4 linked regions of the Saccharomyces cerevisiae S288C genome follow. The protein of the gene in region 1 purifies or fractionates together with the protein of each later gene. This does not show direct contact. Each region holds a gene or a part of one and is shown in the gene's direction. Other genes may lie near its edges.

The links.
Region 2: the proteins of BUD20 (region 1) and RLP24 purify together in Saccharomyces cerevisiae (affinity purification with western blotting; 5 studies listed by BioGRID, with this or other methods). This does not show direct contact.
Region 3: the proteins of BUD20 (region 1) and NOG2 purify together in Saccharomyces cerevisiae (affinity purification with mass spectrometry; 9 studies listed by BioGRID, with this or other methods). This does not show direct contact.
Region 4: the proteins of BUD20 (region 1) and MRT4 purify together in Saccharomyces cerevisiae (affinity purification with mass spectrometry; 6 studies listed by BioGRID, with this or other methods). This does not show direct contact.

Annotation. Positions count from the first base shown.
Region 1 is NC_001144.5:281,082-285,075, reverse strand, and holds BUD20 (Bud20p), read left to right. Parts: upstream 1-2,619; coding exon 2,620-3,120; downstream 3,121-3,994. Other genes in the region: FMP25 (Fmp25p), read right to left, coding at 1-1,204; 60S ribosomal protein uL16 RPL10, read right to left, coding at 1,484-2,149; RFU1 (Rfu1p), read left to right, coding at 3,455-3,994. UniProt on the Saccharomyces cerevisiae protein: Involved in pre-60S ribosomal particles maturation by promoting the nuclear export of the 60S ribosome. Involved in positioning the proximal bud pole signal.
Region 2 is NC_001144.5:164,929-168,791, forward strand, and holds RLP24 (ATPase-activating ribosome biosynthesis protein), read left to right. Parts: upstream 1-1,608; coding exon 1,609-2,208; downstream 2,209-3,863. Other genes in the region: Smc5-Smc6 complex subunit NSE1, read left to right, coding at 1-474; PAM18 (Pam18p), read right to left, coding at 649-1,155; TEN1 (Ten1p), read right to left, coding at 2,392-2,874. UniProt on the Saccharomyces cerevisiae protein: Involved in the biogenesis of the 60S ribosomal subunit. Ensures the docking of NOG1 to pre-60S ribosomal particles. Activates and recruits ATPase AFG2 to cytoplasmic pre-60S ribosomal particles.
Region 3 is NC_001146.8:720,118-725,648, reverse strand, and holds NOG2 (putative GTPase NOG2), read left to right. Parts: upstream 1-2,536; coding exon 2,537-3,346; intron 3,347-3,437; exon of another isoform or gene 3,438-3,711; intron 3,712-3,878; coding exon 3,879-4,529; downstream 4,530-5,531. Other genes in the region: RNA-binding ATPase activator ESF2, read left to right, coding at 1,343-2,293; CCR4-NOT core DEDD family RNase subunit POP2, read left to right, coding at 5,002-5,531. UniProt on the Saccharomyces cerevisiae protein: GTPase that associates with pre-60S ribosomal subunits in the nucleolus and is required for their nuclear export and maturation.
Region 4 is NC_001143.9:423,390-427,452, forward strand, and holds MRT4 (ribosome assembly factor MRT4), read left to right. Parts: upstream 1-2,852; coding exon 2,853-3,563; downstream 3,564-4,063. Other genes in the region: putative ubiquitin-protein ligase UFD4, read right to left, coding at 1-2,486; sphingosine N-acyltransferase LAC1, read right to left, coding at 3,906-4,063. UniProt on the Saccharomyces cerevisiae protein: Component of the ribosome assembly machinery. Nuclear paralog of the ribosomal protein P0, it binds pre-60S subunits at an early stage of assembly in the nucleolus, and is replaced by P0 in cytoplasmic pre-60S subunits and mature 80S ribosomes.

The DNA of each region.
Region 1 (3,994 bases):
CGAACCTATTCCAGCCAAAGGCATAAATTTCACCAGTCTTATCTATTGCCAGTGTATGGTACGACCCGCAAGCTATCTTTTTAATTTCTCTTTTGCGGACAACGTCTTCTCCTTCATGCTTAAATTTGTTCAGCAGTTCAATTTCGAATAGTTGATTATTGGGAGGAAACTCATCGAATTGTGAGAATGTTGGTATACCGAATTGTCCTTTGGATACTTGAGCTTGTTTTTGATCATTTCCCGTCGCGCAGCAATAAGCCTTACCTAAATTAGATAGCAACACCAGATGATGGCTACCAGCGTCAAATTGTACTACACGTTTTTCTCCTTCCTTACCGTTGAAAATCTGATTTGTTTGTAATTTCCAATCATATCTTAGTTTTGTCTTCCATGGCAACAATTTCGACCTTCTTGATGATACTTGCGAAGCTATCAGATCCGGCGTTCTTATAGGTATGACCAATATTTCACCCTTTTTATTCAAAGCGTACAAAAAGTGACTAGAATACTTCATTGAGGTCAAATCTTGATCTGGCAATATCGTTTTTGTTTGTCCCAAATCATCCCACGATATCAAATCGCCTTTCTCGTCAATTGCAAAATTGGTGTTGAAATCGTCAGAGGGAGCTAATAGGATATCTCTGAATTTACGACCATCCAAATTAGGTACTCTAACAGGGAACAATGAGTCCTTAGAATGACACCTTCCCCATATGTATACACCAGGATGATCTATTCCAAGTTGAAAGGCAGGCACTTGAGGAATCTCCCTTAATAGATTTTTGGCCTTTTGTCTGATCAATTTTTCCAACGAATCCTGTCCACTTTGCTCTTGCGTTGCATTTATGCGACCGCCATTCATCTTGATTAACCACCAGGATTTTAATTCTGGCCAACGCAAGTAGGCCGTTCCCAACCCACCCACTACCACGAGAATGAGGATCCCTTGCCCAACAGCAGATAATTTCGCCATCCTTTCCCATTGGAGTTCAGATTCCTTTGTGATCTGATCAGGAGACTTCTCAGGCCATTGGAAATGCTCGTCTGATGGCCTTTTCTTTGCTTTATATGCGCCATGGTTAATGTTCTCTGCAAACAACTCTGCTTCATCGTATTGAGGTTGTTTGGCGTATCGCCTGATGGGACTAACCCAGTTAAGGCGAGGGAGACGTTGAGAAGTCCTCGTGAATAATCTGAATGACATTAGCGGCGCACGTCCCTGTTATCGATTGCTCCCTTTCTTGTTAGACGCATTCAACAATTCTTCGTTACTGCAGCTCAGGCTTTTTTTTTTCCTGCTGGTATACAAAAAGCAACAGTGTCCATTGACTTCAGGATATATCACTACCCAACATGCTGAACTTTAAAAAAACACATAATTATATGTATTACAATAATGTATAAATATATTTACTGTTTAATAAACTAGAATTTAAATCAAAAAAATTTCTCTTTTAAGTTAGTTCAAATGTTTGAAAAGAACTTAAGCTTGAGCAGCAAAGTATTCTGGGAATTCTCTGATGTTGTTTTCCAAAGAACCCTTCTTGGACAAGAACTTAACGAAAGCACCGTCGTCCTTGACTTCACCAGCTTCTCTCTTCTTCAAGTATTCTGGTCTGTCCAAGTTGGTGAAACCCCACTTCTTAGACAAAATAATCTTTTGTTGACCTGGGAACTTGTATCTGGCTCTTCTCAAACCTTCAACGACAACATCCTTGTTGCTGTCCTTGGTTCTGACAGAGAAGATAATTTGACCAATGTCGACACGAGCGGCCAAACCGTGTGGCTTACCCCAAGCACCTCTCATACCTTGTTGCAATCTATCCGCACCGGCACAAGACAACATCTTGTTGATTCTCAAGACATGGAAAGGATGGACTCTGACTCTTAAGTGGAAAGCATCTCTACCGGAGACAGTAGTCATGTACTTGTTGGCACAGATACGAGCAGCTTCCAAAGCTTCAGAAGACAATTGTTCCAATTCGTTGGAAACCAAATGGACACACAATGGGAATTCATCGACGGTAGCCTTCTTCTTACCCAAATCGTAGATTCTGATCTTGGAGTCTGGAACAGCTCTGTTGTATCTAGACTTTGGGTAAGGCTTGTTCTTTTGGTATCTGTAACATCTAGCTGGTCTTCTAGCCATCTTGAATTAGTTATTTGATATACTGTACTTTAAAGTTTGAAAGTCCCACTCCAAAAGCACTTGCGGAAAGGATGTATAAATGGTTGCTCCACATCAACATCTTTTTATAAACTATTCTCTAGAGAAACCAAACTGACCATCAATTCTGAGATGAAAAGTTTCCTTAGTCAGCATTATTGTGCTAACTAGTTTCGGAGGGAAAAATATCGAAAAAAAAAAACCAAAAAAAAAAATAAAAAAAATGTACGGAGGGAAAAGATGTACAGGTGTAAAAAAGCACCCCACGGAAATAACCGCTACTATAATTTCATTTCTTTTTTTTCTATATCCTGCGGAAAATTTTTTTATACTGACAGGGGAAAAAGCAAATTAATTTTGCTTTTATATATGGAAAGTAGCGGGAGATGAGATGAGGTGAATTGAAAGGCAGTTAAACACACAGACAAGTGAAGATAAAACAATAGCGCATCATGGGTAGATATTCGGTGAAGAGATACAAGACTAAAAGAAGAACACGAGACTTGGACCTGATCTATAACGATTTGTCCACCAAGGAATCAGTACAGAAGCTTCTGAACCAGCCATTGGATGAAACCAAACCGGGCCTTGGTCAGCACTATTGCATACACTGTGCCAAATACATGGAGACTGCTATAGCGTTAAAAACGCATTTAAAGGGCAAAGTGCACAAAAGAAGAGTCAAGGAGTTGAGGGGTGTCCCTTACACACAAGAAGTCTCTGATGCTGCTGCGGGCTACAATTTGAACAAGTTCTTGAACCGTGTACAGGAGATCACGCAATCGGTGGGTCCGGAGAAGGAAAGTAATGAGGCCTTGCTGAAGGAGCATTTGGACAGTACCTTGGCAAACGTCAAAACAACAGAACCTACTCTACCGTGGGCGGCTGCTGATGCCGAGGCGAATACCGCTGCCGTAACAGAGGCAGAGTCTACTGCCTCAGCCAGTACTTAACAGTAAAGTAAAGATCAGAACCAAAAATAGGCATATACACTTTTTATAGTATAACACACTTCCAGTCAACTCGAATCGCTTTTGCCGCGAAACGCAATGAAAAAAAGTACGCAACAAAGAGAAATAATGAAAAAAAAAAGAAAAAATTTTTTCATTGCTAGGCGATGAGCATCGACAGTTTTATACGTAAATCAATGGTTAGATAGATAATATTAATAACATACAAGACAATTTTTGCTTCGATTAAAGTGTTGGCACGAATTATTGTTGCGGTTCACCAACCACTATACATTTTTTCTCTTCCTTCCGCATCTTTATCTGGCCCCGGTAGGTCATGAAGTCTAGTAAGCAATTGGTTCAGGACGCTAAGGATTATCGCTTCAATCCGGCGATACCATTGAGAATTTACCTGAAAACATGCATCGGCATATTGGAAAAGGCACAGTGTGCGTTCCAGGCCAACGACTTGTCGCTGTCGTTTATTTATTATTTTAGATATGTGGATTTATTGACTAACAAACTATCTAGACACCCTGAGCTTTTGCGCATGGATGCGTCGTCGTCATCGTCGTCATCGTATATTCATAAAAGAGAATACCTGCAACTCATAAAGTTGGAAGTGCCTGCGGTCTGCAAAATTATTGAAAGCTTACGCACCCAAATTGATTCTCAATACAGCAAATTGCAAACATCACTCGCTAATAATATAGCCAAGCCGAACATAAACGCAAACACAACTCCCGTGCAGGTGGAGCAACAACCACTGCCGAAGAAATCTTTCGACGAGTATAGCTTCAACCAATCAATTTCTTTTTTCCAGAAAATTTCAAACGCACAACTTAATACCGGAGCAAGCTCTCAGAGTCAGGCCACT
Region 2 (3,863 bases), 120 kb from region 1:
ACCTCGATAATTGTGAAGGAAGTCAACCGTATTCTAGTAGCAGCTACAGGAGACTCAAACCTCGCGAAATGGCGTAAGTTCAGTACGTTTACTGTAGGGTCCACCAATCTTTTCCAATTTCAAGAATTAACAGCAACGGACATCGAAGACTTACTACTCCGATTATGCGAACTGAAATGGTTTTACAGGACTCAGGAAGGGAAATTCGGTATTGATCTTCGCTGTATAGCAGAACTAGAAGAGTATCTAACATCCATGTACAATTTGAACACTTGCCAAAATTGCCACAAGCTGGCAATTCAAGGTGTCAGGTGCGGCAACGAATCATGCCGAGAAGAGAATGAGGAAACTGGAGAGAATAGTCTGTCTCAAATTTGGCATGTTGATTGTTTCAAGCATTATATTACCCATGTAAGCAAGAATTGTGATCGTTGCGGTTCATCGCTAATCACAGAGGGCGTATACGTTATTTAAACTAAAATACATAGCTTTCCGTGTTATTTACAAGACTTATCTATACAAACATTTGATTGCCCGAAGTATTTTAATCTCCTAAACGGCATGTGATTGAACACGGTTCGAGGTTTATACCACTTGTATTAGGCATATATGCAATTGCAATAACTCATTTTAGGTTCCCGTTTTACCTTATTTGCTAATACCCCTTTTTTCCAAAAAGTCCTTAGCTTCGTTTATCTTAGTGGCCAAAAATGGAGAACCACCTTTGTCAGGATGATTAGCTAACATAATTTTCCTATGAACCTCTTTCAACTTTTTTTTAGTCAATGTATTTTCTGTCAAATTCAAAATCTGTAGAGCCTCTTTAGAATTCATTTTCGGGTCAAATCCGCCTTTCAAGAAGGCAGTAGTGGATTTTCCACCGTTAAGTCCCTTCGATATTGATTTATATGCACCGGCTGTAAAATATAAAGTTAAAAAGGCCCCAAAACCTGTTATCACAGGATGTTCTCCCATGTAGTTCAAAGCTTGATCAAAATAAAGGTCCATTCCGGTCTTTTGACCCTGCGAACCATTCTGGATACCGACATTAACACCAGCTCCATCAACAGTAACGTTCGCAGAGCCATTAGTTTGACCAGGAATGGGTAGTTGTGGTGCCTCAATAGAATTACCAGTATTACTTTGAGAACTCATGATATTGTGCGGGTGGAAGTGTTTATGCAACCTTATTAAACTGTGCTCGGCCAGTGGAGACGTACAAATTCCACTACTATTCGTACTTTGTCTAGTTCAAGGGTCTCCGTCGAGTGAGTCCTACGTTGATTCAAATGGCTTTCACATTTGGTCCGATTCTCGCTCTTTAAATTTTTTGCCCGCTCGCCTCGAACTCAGCGGAGTGAAAAATTTTCACTCGTCTTTTATTAAATAATGTATTTCTAAACTCATCTCATCTCATCCCACCCTATCTCCAACTTACATCAGTTTCTATCTTGATCCGTGATATACCACTTTTAAGTTCTTCGACTTGTGATTTGAAAGATATTGCTATTCAAGCGTGAGTTGTCCATATTGTTACCACCACCTCCCCGTGATTTACATTCAGAAACTAAAAGGAAAAGGAAGTAGAAGTTTAGTAAGTATAAAAAAATGAGAATTTATCAATGCCATTTTTGCTCATCCCCATGTTATCCAGGTCATGGGATCATGTTTGTGCGTAACGATGCTAAAGAGTTTAGGTTCTGCCGTTCTAAGTGTCACAAGGCATTCAAGCAACGTCGTAACCCAAGAAAACTAAAATGGACCAAAGCTTTCAGAAAGGCTGCCGGAAAAGAATTGGCTGTGGATTCTACCTTGACTTTTGCCCAAAGAAGAAATGTCCCTGTTAGATACAATAGAGAGTTAGTTGCCACAACTTTGAAGGCTATGGCTAGAATCGAAGAAATTAGACAAAAACGTGAAAGAGCCTTCTACAAGAATAGAATGAGAGGTAACAAAGAAAAGGACTTCTTAAGAGATAAGAAATTGGTCGAATCTAACCCAGAATTATTGAGAATCAGAGAAGTTGAAATTGCCAGAAAGTTGGCTAAAGAACAAGAAAGAGCTGAATCAGTATCCGAACAAGAGGAATCTGAAGAAGAAGAGGAGGATATGGAAATCGACAGTGACGAGGAAGAGGAAGAACAATTGGAAAAGCAAAAGATTCTGCTAAAGAACAGAAGAAGAAATACAAAGAAAATTGCTTTTTAGTTAGAACAGAACCGGGCTAATTGCCTCTTTCCTTTCTTTTCTCATACTTATTTCATGGGATAAATAAGAATCACCTGTATACTATTATTTACATTACATAACATTACAATAACTATTTTCAAGGGTCCTCTTACATTCTTATCAAAGGTATTATATAATCTCAGTATATGCCAAACGTCTGACTTAGGAGTTAGAGATGTTCAGAAACTTCTCACCAAGTGGTGATTTGACAAATTCACAGAAATCACGAACGTCATTCCTGGATAGTATCTTAAAATCAATGATTTCAAAAATTGGCGGACTTTGGTGTATTCCATACCATACCCCAATGCGAACATCCAGTACCTGCCCATTTATCAATCTCAAATCATCTTTATGGGCTGAAAATAATCTTTCGCTCATATACAAACGCATCTCCTCTGCGCCATTTGTTGAATTGAGGCAATGAAGATTTCTAACTATCATTTGACAGAAAAAACCTTTAATGAATTCTTCATCCGATTTACAGAACAAGAAATCTACTAATCGAACAACAATCCTGAATCTTTTGGACGGATGAATAATGTTTGGTTCCATTCCGTTTCCACCGTAAACATTGTTATGAATATCGTAATTCGTTGCTATTTTATCCTTCAAACATTTTAAGTCTAGAACTAACTGGCTCATATAACACTGTCGTAGTTCTCTAAAAAGAGCAAATAGAGCTGTATGTAACCAATACAATATAGTGAATTATGTCCTAGAATAAGGGCATTCATTATTCTCCATCTCTGCTTCAGAGAAAAAAAAAAGAAAAAGAAAAAATAACGACAACTGCAGGACTCGAACCTGCGCGGGCAAAGCCCAAAAGATTTCTAATCTTTCGCCTTAACCACTCGGCCAAGTTGCCATATGACTATTGATTTATATCATATTACGAGCCCAAATAATACTGGGGTGTTTTGACAATCCTAATATAAACAGTCTTCGAGAAGTAACCAGTTGTCAAAACGGATTATCAGCTTGATTCAAGGAATGTTAACTGTCCTATATCATATAAAATATGAATCATACTAAATGGTGGAAGCACGGATCTTGGATCTAAACTAATTGTTCAGGCATTTATATGTTTGGGTAGTTTGGCTAAGGGAGGCCGGGTTTTATCTCATGTTGTTCGTTTTGTTATAGGATTGTTTCATATGTATTTTATGAACGTTTAGGATAATGTATTGTCAGGCTGACGTATCTCATTTTGAGATACAATAATTTAACCTATTTTATGTTAAATATTACACAAGATGATAAATATGTCAACTAAAAACTTTAACGCCGAGCTTGGCCATTACAATATAGAGCACATGCTATGATCAAATGAATTAGATGAATACAAGCCAAGAAAGCATTTTTTTAATTACACTTCATGCTTTTGTTGGAATGAAACTGTAAAATACCATCTGTTTAGTAGTATTTGTGTTACCAGTATACCGTCACATGCGGTGTAACGTGAGGACATAAAAAAGTCATCAAAATTAATGTCCCCACGTTACACTGTATATGACAGTATATACTACTGACATGAATACTAGTCGATAGTTAATACATGATTCTTATTACAACATGATGATTACAGTCTCGTCTTGGTCTGTTGTTTGACCCTACTATTTTATGCTATTTTT
Region 3 (5,531 bases), on another chromosome or scaffold:
AAAATACAAATGGTGGTTACTTGATAATGAATATGCTCTAATTGAAAAGAAATCTCCCTAGATATGATACCGCCCTCGACGACCCGATCTTTGGTATTTGGTAGGACTGTATCATCTTATTCCTCACATCATAGCAATTTTGTTCGTCATAATGTTCCTTTAGTTCTCAGAGTCATATGAATTCTATTTCCATAGAATTTTCCATTTTGAGCAATACGGGGAGTCGCTACCTCGATTCTAAGTTATGCTGCATTGACTTTATTGTGTGATATACATATCGATGTACTAGAAAGGGTTTGGTTTGGCCAAGTTTTTTATTATGAGGGTGCATTTTTTCTGTTTTAACACATTTCTCATGATCCTAATAGAAGGTTGAGTAGAGATGTACATAATATTTTGCGGAAAGTTTCGACACGTTCATTAGGTTCTAAAAAATTATTATTTTTCATAAGCTATTGAGATCTTATCACCTTGCTCTGTAATTCTAAAGTTGTTCTAAAACCGCAATTAATGTTTCAATTTTGGCGCTATTAATAATGATGGATACTCAACGAGGCGTACCAGTAGCATTTTGCCATCTTAACACATTAGCAAACGTTGCTATTATTGATCCTTCCATAAGTAATTTCACACATCCATTTTCGTCCCTAAGATAAAACAAAGTCTCACAATTCGTATATTGATATTTCAAACCCCAAAGCCTGTAGCCTTTTGATTATGACCGACTTCCCAGACGTGGCCATATTGATAAAGGTGCTTTCTGATCAAAGTTAGTATTAAAGAAAGGGTAAAATTCGTAATATCGTAATATTGTAATATGAACCAAAAACGTTCACAATGTGTAGGATGCACTACCAAATAGGTTGCGTTGTAGTACTCATCTCTCGGTTGCGCGACTAGAAAGTTACTAGAAAACTCCGGAATTCCTTATAATATACTGCAATAATGCACATGTATCTTTTCAGTGCAAATTAATTATAGGAACAAACAGATAGCGACAATTCTTTAAGGGCTGCTGGATTGACAACCCCTTCATCGACCATATTTGATTAGCCAGCCACCAAATAGCGTTTCAATTGACAAACTACATTATCTCGTGAAGAATATTTAAACGGTGATATTGGGTCTGTCTGATCACATTTCCAAAGGCAATGACGTGTAAATTTTTTCTTTCTCTTGTTTTATTATTTTGAATTACTTCGTTATAGCCAGCTTTTCTCACATTGCGCAGTAAAACTTTCGCTATTAAGATTTTGAAAAATTTCAACCTGACAAACTACCCATTGCTATGTAAGTACAAAGCAAACAGTTTACTGCAGCAGAGTGAAGTAAATTTTTACGCATGAGTGAAAAAGTAAATAGTGACTTTGAAGACTTTTCCTCAGATGAGGAAACCGATCAACATAACGTCTTAATTCAGACCAAGAAAAAAATTTCTAGTAAGGATGATATCTTCAGTAAGAAGGTAGAAGACATCGAAAGTGAAAACGAGTCAGACATAGAAGAAGAGCAAAAACAAGAAGAAAAAGAGGATGTAGAACAACCAGATAAAGAGAATGGAGAAAAGCTCGATCGAGAAGTAGAAGAACAAGCTTCGTCCACCACTTCACTGGATTTAAAAACAGAAAAACTAAGGCAACTGGTAAAATCAAAGGCCGCCAAGAAGTCTAAACACAAGACTGGGGTGGTATACTTCTCCAGTATTCCACCTTACATGAAACCTGCAAAAATGAGACAAATATTAACTCGTTTTGGTGAGGTAGATAGACTATTTCTAAAGAAAGAGGACGATCAAAAGTACAAGCAAAGAGTTAAAGGTGGAGGAAACAAGAAAAACAAGTATGAAGAAGGTTGGGCCGAGTTTATTAGGAAAAGAGACGCCAAATTGTGTGCGGAGACGTTGAACGGGAACATTATTGGTGGCAAGAAAGGTACTTTCTACCATGATGATATCCTGAACGTGAAGTACCTCCCAGGTTTCAAATGGGCAGATTTGACTGAACAGATTGCCCGCGAGAACGATATCAGACAGGCCAAGTTGGAGATGGAAATCTCGCAGGCCAACAAACTGAACGCGGAATTCATTAGAAACGTGGAGCAAAGTAAGATGATACAAAACATTAAGAACTCTAGGAAGCGCGCCGGAAAAGAAGGAGAGTCTGCAGATTCTCACCCTCACAGGGAATTTAAACAACGTCGTGTGGAAACAAGCCGTGCCAATGCTCCCTCTGATATCAAGCAGCAATCCTCTGGGTCCAAAGACTTGGGTAATGTTCTCACCAATTTACTATAATATAGAATCAATAACAAATATATAAACACAACCTGTCATTTAGCACGTTTTTTTGCCCGATGCTCATCGCAAAAATTTTTCGCTTGAAGAAAAATTTTTCACTTTTCTTCTTTTTGGGCATATAAAGAAGCGTAGAATATATAAAAGATATTTACTACTTGTTAGTACTTTCCCTTAAGTGTTAACTTTGAAGATCTGTTGACTTGCAGCAAAACCACTAAATATCAGGGGAGGAATAATACAATGGGTACTGGTAAGAAAGAGAAATCTAGACGTATTCGTGAAGGTGACACCAAAGATGGTAATCTTCGTGTGAAGGGTGAAAATTTCTACAGAGACTCCAAGAGAGTCAAATTCCTGAATATGTACACTAGTGGGAAGGAGATCAGGAATAAGAAAGGTAATTTAATTAGGGCCGCTTCTTTCCAGGACTCCACAATACCGGATGCGAGGGTCCAACCAGATCGTCGTTGGTTCGGTAACACAAGAGTGATATCTCAGGACGCACTGCAGCATTTCAGAAGTGCATTGGGTGAAACCCAAAAAGATACATATCAAGTTCTTCTGAGAAGAAATAAGCTTCCCATGTCATTGTTGGAAGAAAAGGACGCAGATGAATCCCCAAAAGCCAGAATTTTGGATACCGAAAGTTATGCTGATGCGTTTGGGCCCAAAGCCCAAAGAAAGAGACCACGTCTTGCTGCATCCAATCTAGAGGACTTGGTCAAGGCTACAAATGAAGACATTACCAAGTATGAGGAAAAGCAAGTCTTAGATGCCACATTAGGACTAATGGGGAACCAGGAAGACAAAGAAAATGGGTGGACCTCCGCAGCAAAAGAAGCTATTTTCAGTAAGGGTCAATCCAAACGTATTTGGAACGAATTATATAAAGTCATCGATTCGTCTGACGTGGTAATACATGTTCTAGATGCAAGGGATCCATTGGGTACCCGTTGTAAGTCCGTGGAAGAGTATATGAAGAAGGAAACACCACACAAGCATTTAATTTATGTTCTTAATAAGTGTGATTTGGTACCTACCTGGGTTGCAGTATGTTAACTTTTTTTTTTTTTTTTTTGATTCTTTCCAACCAAGAGGATAGCACGAGAGATTTTTTTTTTCGATAGAGTATGATTTTTATTACCAAACCTTTTTGTCAGGGTGCTTCTCTATCCGTTTTAGGATAAACTTATCTACAGAAGTGTCTGTTACTGTTTTGGAAGAGTAATACTGTTCGCTTATCCATATTTCCCCGTTCTGGGGAAGCCTCATGGGTAAATTAGAAGGACAACCTTTGTTTTAAAGGTATACCTTCGCTTTTTAGAACAGCGAGGATCTTATGAGTTGAGCTTTTGTTATTTGAGACTTTATCTCGGGCTCCATACAATATGTTCGTAGTAAAGATCCTCACAATTTTCTACTTTTTTTTTTTTTTTAGTTTAATCCACTCTTCGAAACAATCAATCTCGGCTATAACAATGATTATTACATTCTCTTGGGGCAAAAGATTACCTATTATGAAACAAAATGTATTTTTTACTAACAGAAGGTTTTTTTTTTTCAATTCTAACTTTACAAGTAGGCAGCTTGGGTCAAACATTTGTCAAAGGAACGTCCAACTTTGGCGTTTCACGCATCTATTACCAACTCTTTCGGTAAAGGTTCGTTAATTCAGTTGCTACGTCAGTTCTCACAGTTGCATACTGATAGAAAGCAAATATCTGTAGGGTTTATCGGCTATCCAAACACTGGTAAATCGTCCATCATTAACACATTGAGAAAGAAAAAGGTGTGTCAAGTTGCACCAATCCCTGGTGAAACTAAGGTCTGGCAATATATTACTCTTATGAAAAGAATTTTTTTGATTGATTGTCCAGGTATTGTGCCGCCTTCTAGTAAAGACTCCGAAGAAGACATTTTATTCAGAGGTGTTGTCAGAGTCGAACACGTCACACACCCAGAACAATATATTCCAGGTGTTTTAAAACGTTGTCAGGTAAAGCACTTGGAAAGAACTTACGAGATCTCAGGATGGAAGGATGCCACGGAGTTTATTGAAATTCTGGCAAGGAAACAAGGTAGATTACTGAAGGGTGGTGAGCCTGATGAGTCTGGTGTTTCTAAGCAAATATTGAATGATTTTAATAGAGGTAAAATCCCTTGGTTCGTCCTTCCACCTGAAAAGGAAGGGGAAGAAAAACCAAAGAAGAAAGAAGTTGAGAAGACGGCATAGAGGTAAAAACGGACAACCGGTGTATAATATTAATTTAAGATTACAAGTGATTTTTTTTTTCTTTTTTTTTGTTATTTTTTTTTTTGTTCTTATTATATGGCAGCAAACATTCTTGGGGAAACAACATAGATGGGTAATTATTTAGTTTATAAAGTATAATATTCCAATAGAAAACTTAAGTTCGGTAATGATATAGCCCTCTCTATAGTATAAGGTAAATCTCATTATACCAGTCATTCCAAACGGAATTCGGTCCTTACCCGCTGCTCGCTCTTTTTTCATCATTATGATATTTTCTTTATTGAGTCTTTTCAATTATAGTAGTAGAATGATAACTGACAAGAAAGATCAGTTTGAAGTTTATTAGCGTGTCTCGTTATCAGGGCTTCCTTGTTTTTCATACTGGAAATACTTCGAACGATTAGAAACAGGCAACTCAATTTTATACATTTATAAAGGGTCAAAAAGGATTATGCAATCTATGAATGTACAACCGAGGGTATTAGCTGTAGGAGGTGAGCAGTTTTTCTCTCAGAGGCAGGCTTCTGAACAACACCAGCAGCAAAACATGGGACCTCAGGTGTATTCGCCAAAGGTTAATAGAGCAAGAATGTTTCCTCAAGGGATGCCTGTAAATACAATTAATGGCTCTGTTAATCAGGAGATGAACAATGCCTATCTTTTGAAGCAGAAGAACGAGCCACTGTTAACTCAGCAACAACAGCAACAGCAACAACAACAGCAGCCATTTAATATAGGAACGCCTGTTTCGGTGGCTAGTTTGCCGCCCGGACTGAACGTTCTGCAGCAACAACAACAGCAGCAACAACAACAGCAGCAACAGCAGCAGGGAGTGGGACTCAATCGTCCCTTGGCTTCCCAGCTACCCAAGCATTTAACCAACCAAAGTATGCCACCGATCTTTTTACCACCCCCAAATTATCTTTTCGTTCGCGATGTCTGGAAGTCCAACCTTTACAGTGAATTCGCCGTTATAAGACA
Region 4 (4,063 bases), on another chromosome or scaffold:
GCCAGTGAAGATACACCACCACCATCGTGTAAACCGCAATCAACTATAGAGAAATTCTCCAGCCTTGTGAGAGCAGATTGTAGGATTTCTAAAAATCTGTCAATACAATCCTCAAATACCTCTAAAAATGATTTAGCAAGAATGAAATGGGATACCGTTGAGGATGTAATTCTTTTAGTTATGGAGGAAGCTAGCCCTGTAGAAGTAAATTCGAAACCTGACACGTCGAAATCTTCATGGAAAATACATTTTTTTAAAACAGACCAAATTCCCTTCCAATCCTCTTCAGTTTTGTCCGGAGTGGAAGGATTTTCTAAAATAGAAACAACGCCTTCGATTTGATGGAGCTCCTCTGTTATTGCTTCTTGCTCAACGTTCATCTGAGAAAGTACTCTATTAACTAGGTTCACACCCTTGTTTTTAATATAAGCTAGAGATAGAGTTCTGAAAATGTGTATTGAAATTTTCTTTGGTTTTACTGAATCAGGAATTTCCATATCAGTAAATTCGTAATCATATTCTTCATCACCCTCATCACATTCCTCAATACTGCTATGCAAATCCCCTTCTTCGTCAGAAAGTGAAATATTTTCATTCCCGTCTTCCTTTAAATCAATGTTATTGAAATCCACAGACAAATCCTTAACCAAATCAAAAATGCCCTCTCTTTTGATGGAAGGAAAGAACAGTTCGGAAAACTTTTTACAAATTAAGTCAAGCAACGAGAGACCACCAACCAACAGTGTACCAGCTTCTGATGAGTAAGTACCATTAGCGTTAGACGCTGTTTCTTTTTGGGCCAGGATAGATCCGATTAACTTAATAAGTTGATCATTGATTGCCTTTGCTGTGGAATTATTTATGCATGATACAACCCTCAGTAAAGCAATAAGTACGTATCTTCTTACGTCAAAGTCAGCAGCATTTGTATAAATTTCAACGAGAATTGGAATTAGACATTGAACTAGGGAATCAAACTTTTCCTGGTTAGAAATTACGCCACGGTCGCTATTTCCGGTATATTTATCCGCTGACAGTATTCTTTCATCCTCGGGAGGAAACAATACAACTATAAATCTAGAAATGCTAATCAATAAACTGTTTGGGACATAAATCAGTGTTTCATGTAACCCTGCGTTAGGACTTTTACTATAATGCTGGAATGATCGTGTTGCCATGTCGACAATGTCAGTTTTCTCTCTCAGTTCTCTTGAAAGTACATCACTACTCATCGCTAATACGGTTAAAATATCCAAACATTTCAGTTTATTCTCCAAGGGGGTATCCTGAATAGAAACTAGCTGAACTATTCTTTCGATTAAATCCAACGAAAACAAAGTCTCAAATTTGTCAACCCCATGCAACGCCCCGCAAATACCGTACATGGCATTTACAAGCCTGGTTAATATTGGTTGGTCTGTCGCATTCGAGAAAATTGGCTTCAGCGTTGGAAGTACTTCAACAATGGTCTTAAAGTCATCCGTTCGGATACTGCTACAGGCGTTCGAAACAATTGCGATAGCCTTCCTCTGCGCATGTATAGTTAAAAAATCGAAGAATTGGACGTAGATTGATAATTGGCCCGTTTTTAAAATGTCTCTCCCATGTACTCTAGAAATATATTCCACCGTTTCTAAAACTTGTTCTGCGAGGTCAATGTAACTGATCTCTACCAATTTTCCTTGTAAAATTGGTATAACGTGTTCATCAACAGCTATTGAAATAGATTCAGGGCAGACCTCAAAAAGATTATACATGCATCTACAAGCTTGCATTTGTAATTCTAATTCTTCCCGTAAAATTTTATCAGAGAGTATGGCAGCTATATTACCTATTAAGGTTTCCATCGGTATAATTCTATCGACAACCATTTGATTCATCATTAATATGTTTTCAGAAAGTTCTTTTAAACTCTCCATTGCAATATAAGGATCCTCGGAGGCATTCCCAGTATTCTCTATCAATTTAGAAATCCGCTCATTCCTTGCCGAACTCTCTGCGCTCCTCTCCATCCTTCCTCCAATCATCGATAAAATCTCGGGTAGTGTTCTTCCAACCGGGTGTTGCCCAAGTCCTTCACTTGTTTGTCTTCTTTGTTCTAGTCTTTGTGCGAATGTTTCCAAAATGTCAGGTAAATGTAGGGGGTTGCTGCCAAATTCATTATTATCGTGAGAACGTTCAAGTCCATCTTCTTCTTCATTTCTGTCTTCGTCACTGCCATTCTGAGTTCTATGATATCCATATAAAAGTCCAGAATCATCTTCATGATGGTAATCGTTATCGTCATCTTCACCATCATCTGCCTCAAAACTTCCGACGCTAGAAAGCATATGTTCATCTTCATCTTCATCAGGATAATAAGAGTACTCACCCTGTACATGGCCATCCTCATCATAGTCATCTTCTACCTGCGTATCCATCATATAATCACTGTTTTCGCTATGGGACTCATGTTCATCAAGGTTGTGCGAATTATTTTCAGACATGCTTGGCTACTCTTCTATTTTAAATGTTTATCCAAAATTTTCACACCTGAGATATATTGTTGTTAATAAAGCACACAGAAAGGAAAGTATCGATCCCAGAAAGTGGTCTTTCCCTGGGTATGATCAAAGCTATTCCCCTTTCCAACTACTGTTGGCTATGATCCCACAATTTGATTTCAGTTCAGAAAACCCAACCATTAGGACTTTACCCGGCGAAGGTGAAAGAAAAAATTTTTTTCCAGAAAAATGCGATGAGCTTTTGAAAAGTTGCAAATATTTGTAGTACTTTGGCTAAGCAGAGCTGATTCCTTTTGCTATACGTACATCACTGTCTATCGTCCATAAAAGATTTATTATAGTTGAATCATGCCAAGATCAAAACGTTCCAAGCTAGTCACTTTAGCACAAACCGATAAAAAGGGCAGAGAAAATAAAGAAAGAATTTTCGATGAAGTGAGGGAAGCCTTAGATACTTATAGATACGTCTGGGTCCTACATCTTGACGACGTAAGAACTCCAGTTTTACAAGAAATCAGAACATCTTGGGCAGGCTCTAAGTTAATTATGGGTAAGAGGAAAGTTTTACAAAAAGCATTGGGAGAAAAGAGGGAAGAAGAATACAAAGAAAATCTGTATCAATTGAGTAAGCTTTGTAGCGGTGTCACTGGTTTATTGTTCACTGATGAGGATGTCAACACTGTCAAGGAATACTTTAAGTCATACGTTCGTTCAGACTATTCAAGACCGAACACGAAAGCACCACTAACATTTACAATTCCTGAGGGCATTGTCTACTCACGTGGTGGTCAAATTCCAGCTGAGGAAGATGTTCCAATGATTCATTCTTTAGAGCCAACTATGAGAAACAAATTTGAAATTCCAACTAAAATCAAAGCTGGTAAGATCACCATTGACAGTCCATATTTAGTTTGCACTGAAGGAGAAAAATTAGATGTTCGTCAAGCTTTAATACTGAAACAATTCGGTATCGCTGCTTCTGAATTCAAAGTCAAGGTGTCGGCCTACTATGACAACGATAGCTCCACTGTTGAAAGCACTAACATCAACATGGAATAAGCTGAACTATTATTTGGAAGCCTTTTTTAATAGACCATTGTATAAAAATTTCTTTTTTTTGTATAGATATACTAAAGCAACGCTCATAAATGTAACATAGCTTCTTTTCAACTGAGAATTTATATTCATGCTAACTAAGCGTAAATCACTTTTGATCTTCACAGCTCTTTAGCGGCACGAAAGCAAGAAAAAAAGATAACACTGTATGTCTGGAAAAGAATACTATAAAAATACCTGTTTACATAAACCAATAAGGAAGAACGTGAGAGCAGGACCGTAAAAGAATTAATGTGTAAAGAATTAATGTGTAATGGTTATACTACTTAAAAACACCGTTTTCCTTCAAATATCCTTTTTCGTTGGAGTACTGTCAGTTGGAGTAGTGGAACTTTCATCACTTTCTTCGTCTGATTCACTATCACTTCTGTCATCCTTGAGAATACCTCTCCATAGAATCCTGTAAAGAACTCTAAAAATAAGGAACAGCCAATAAAGATTCA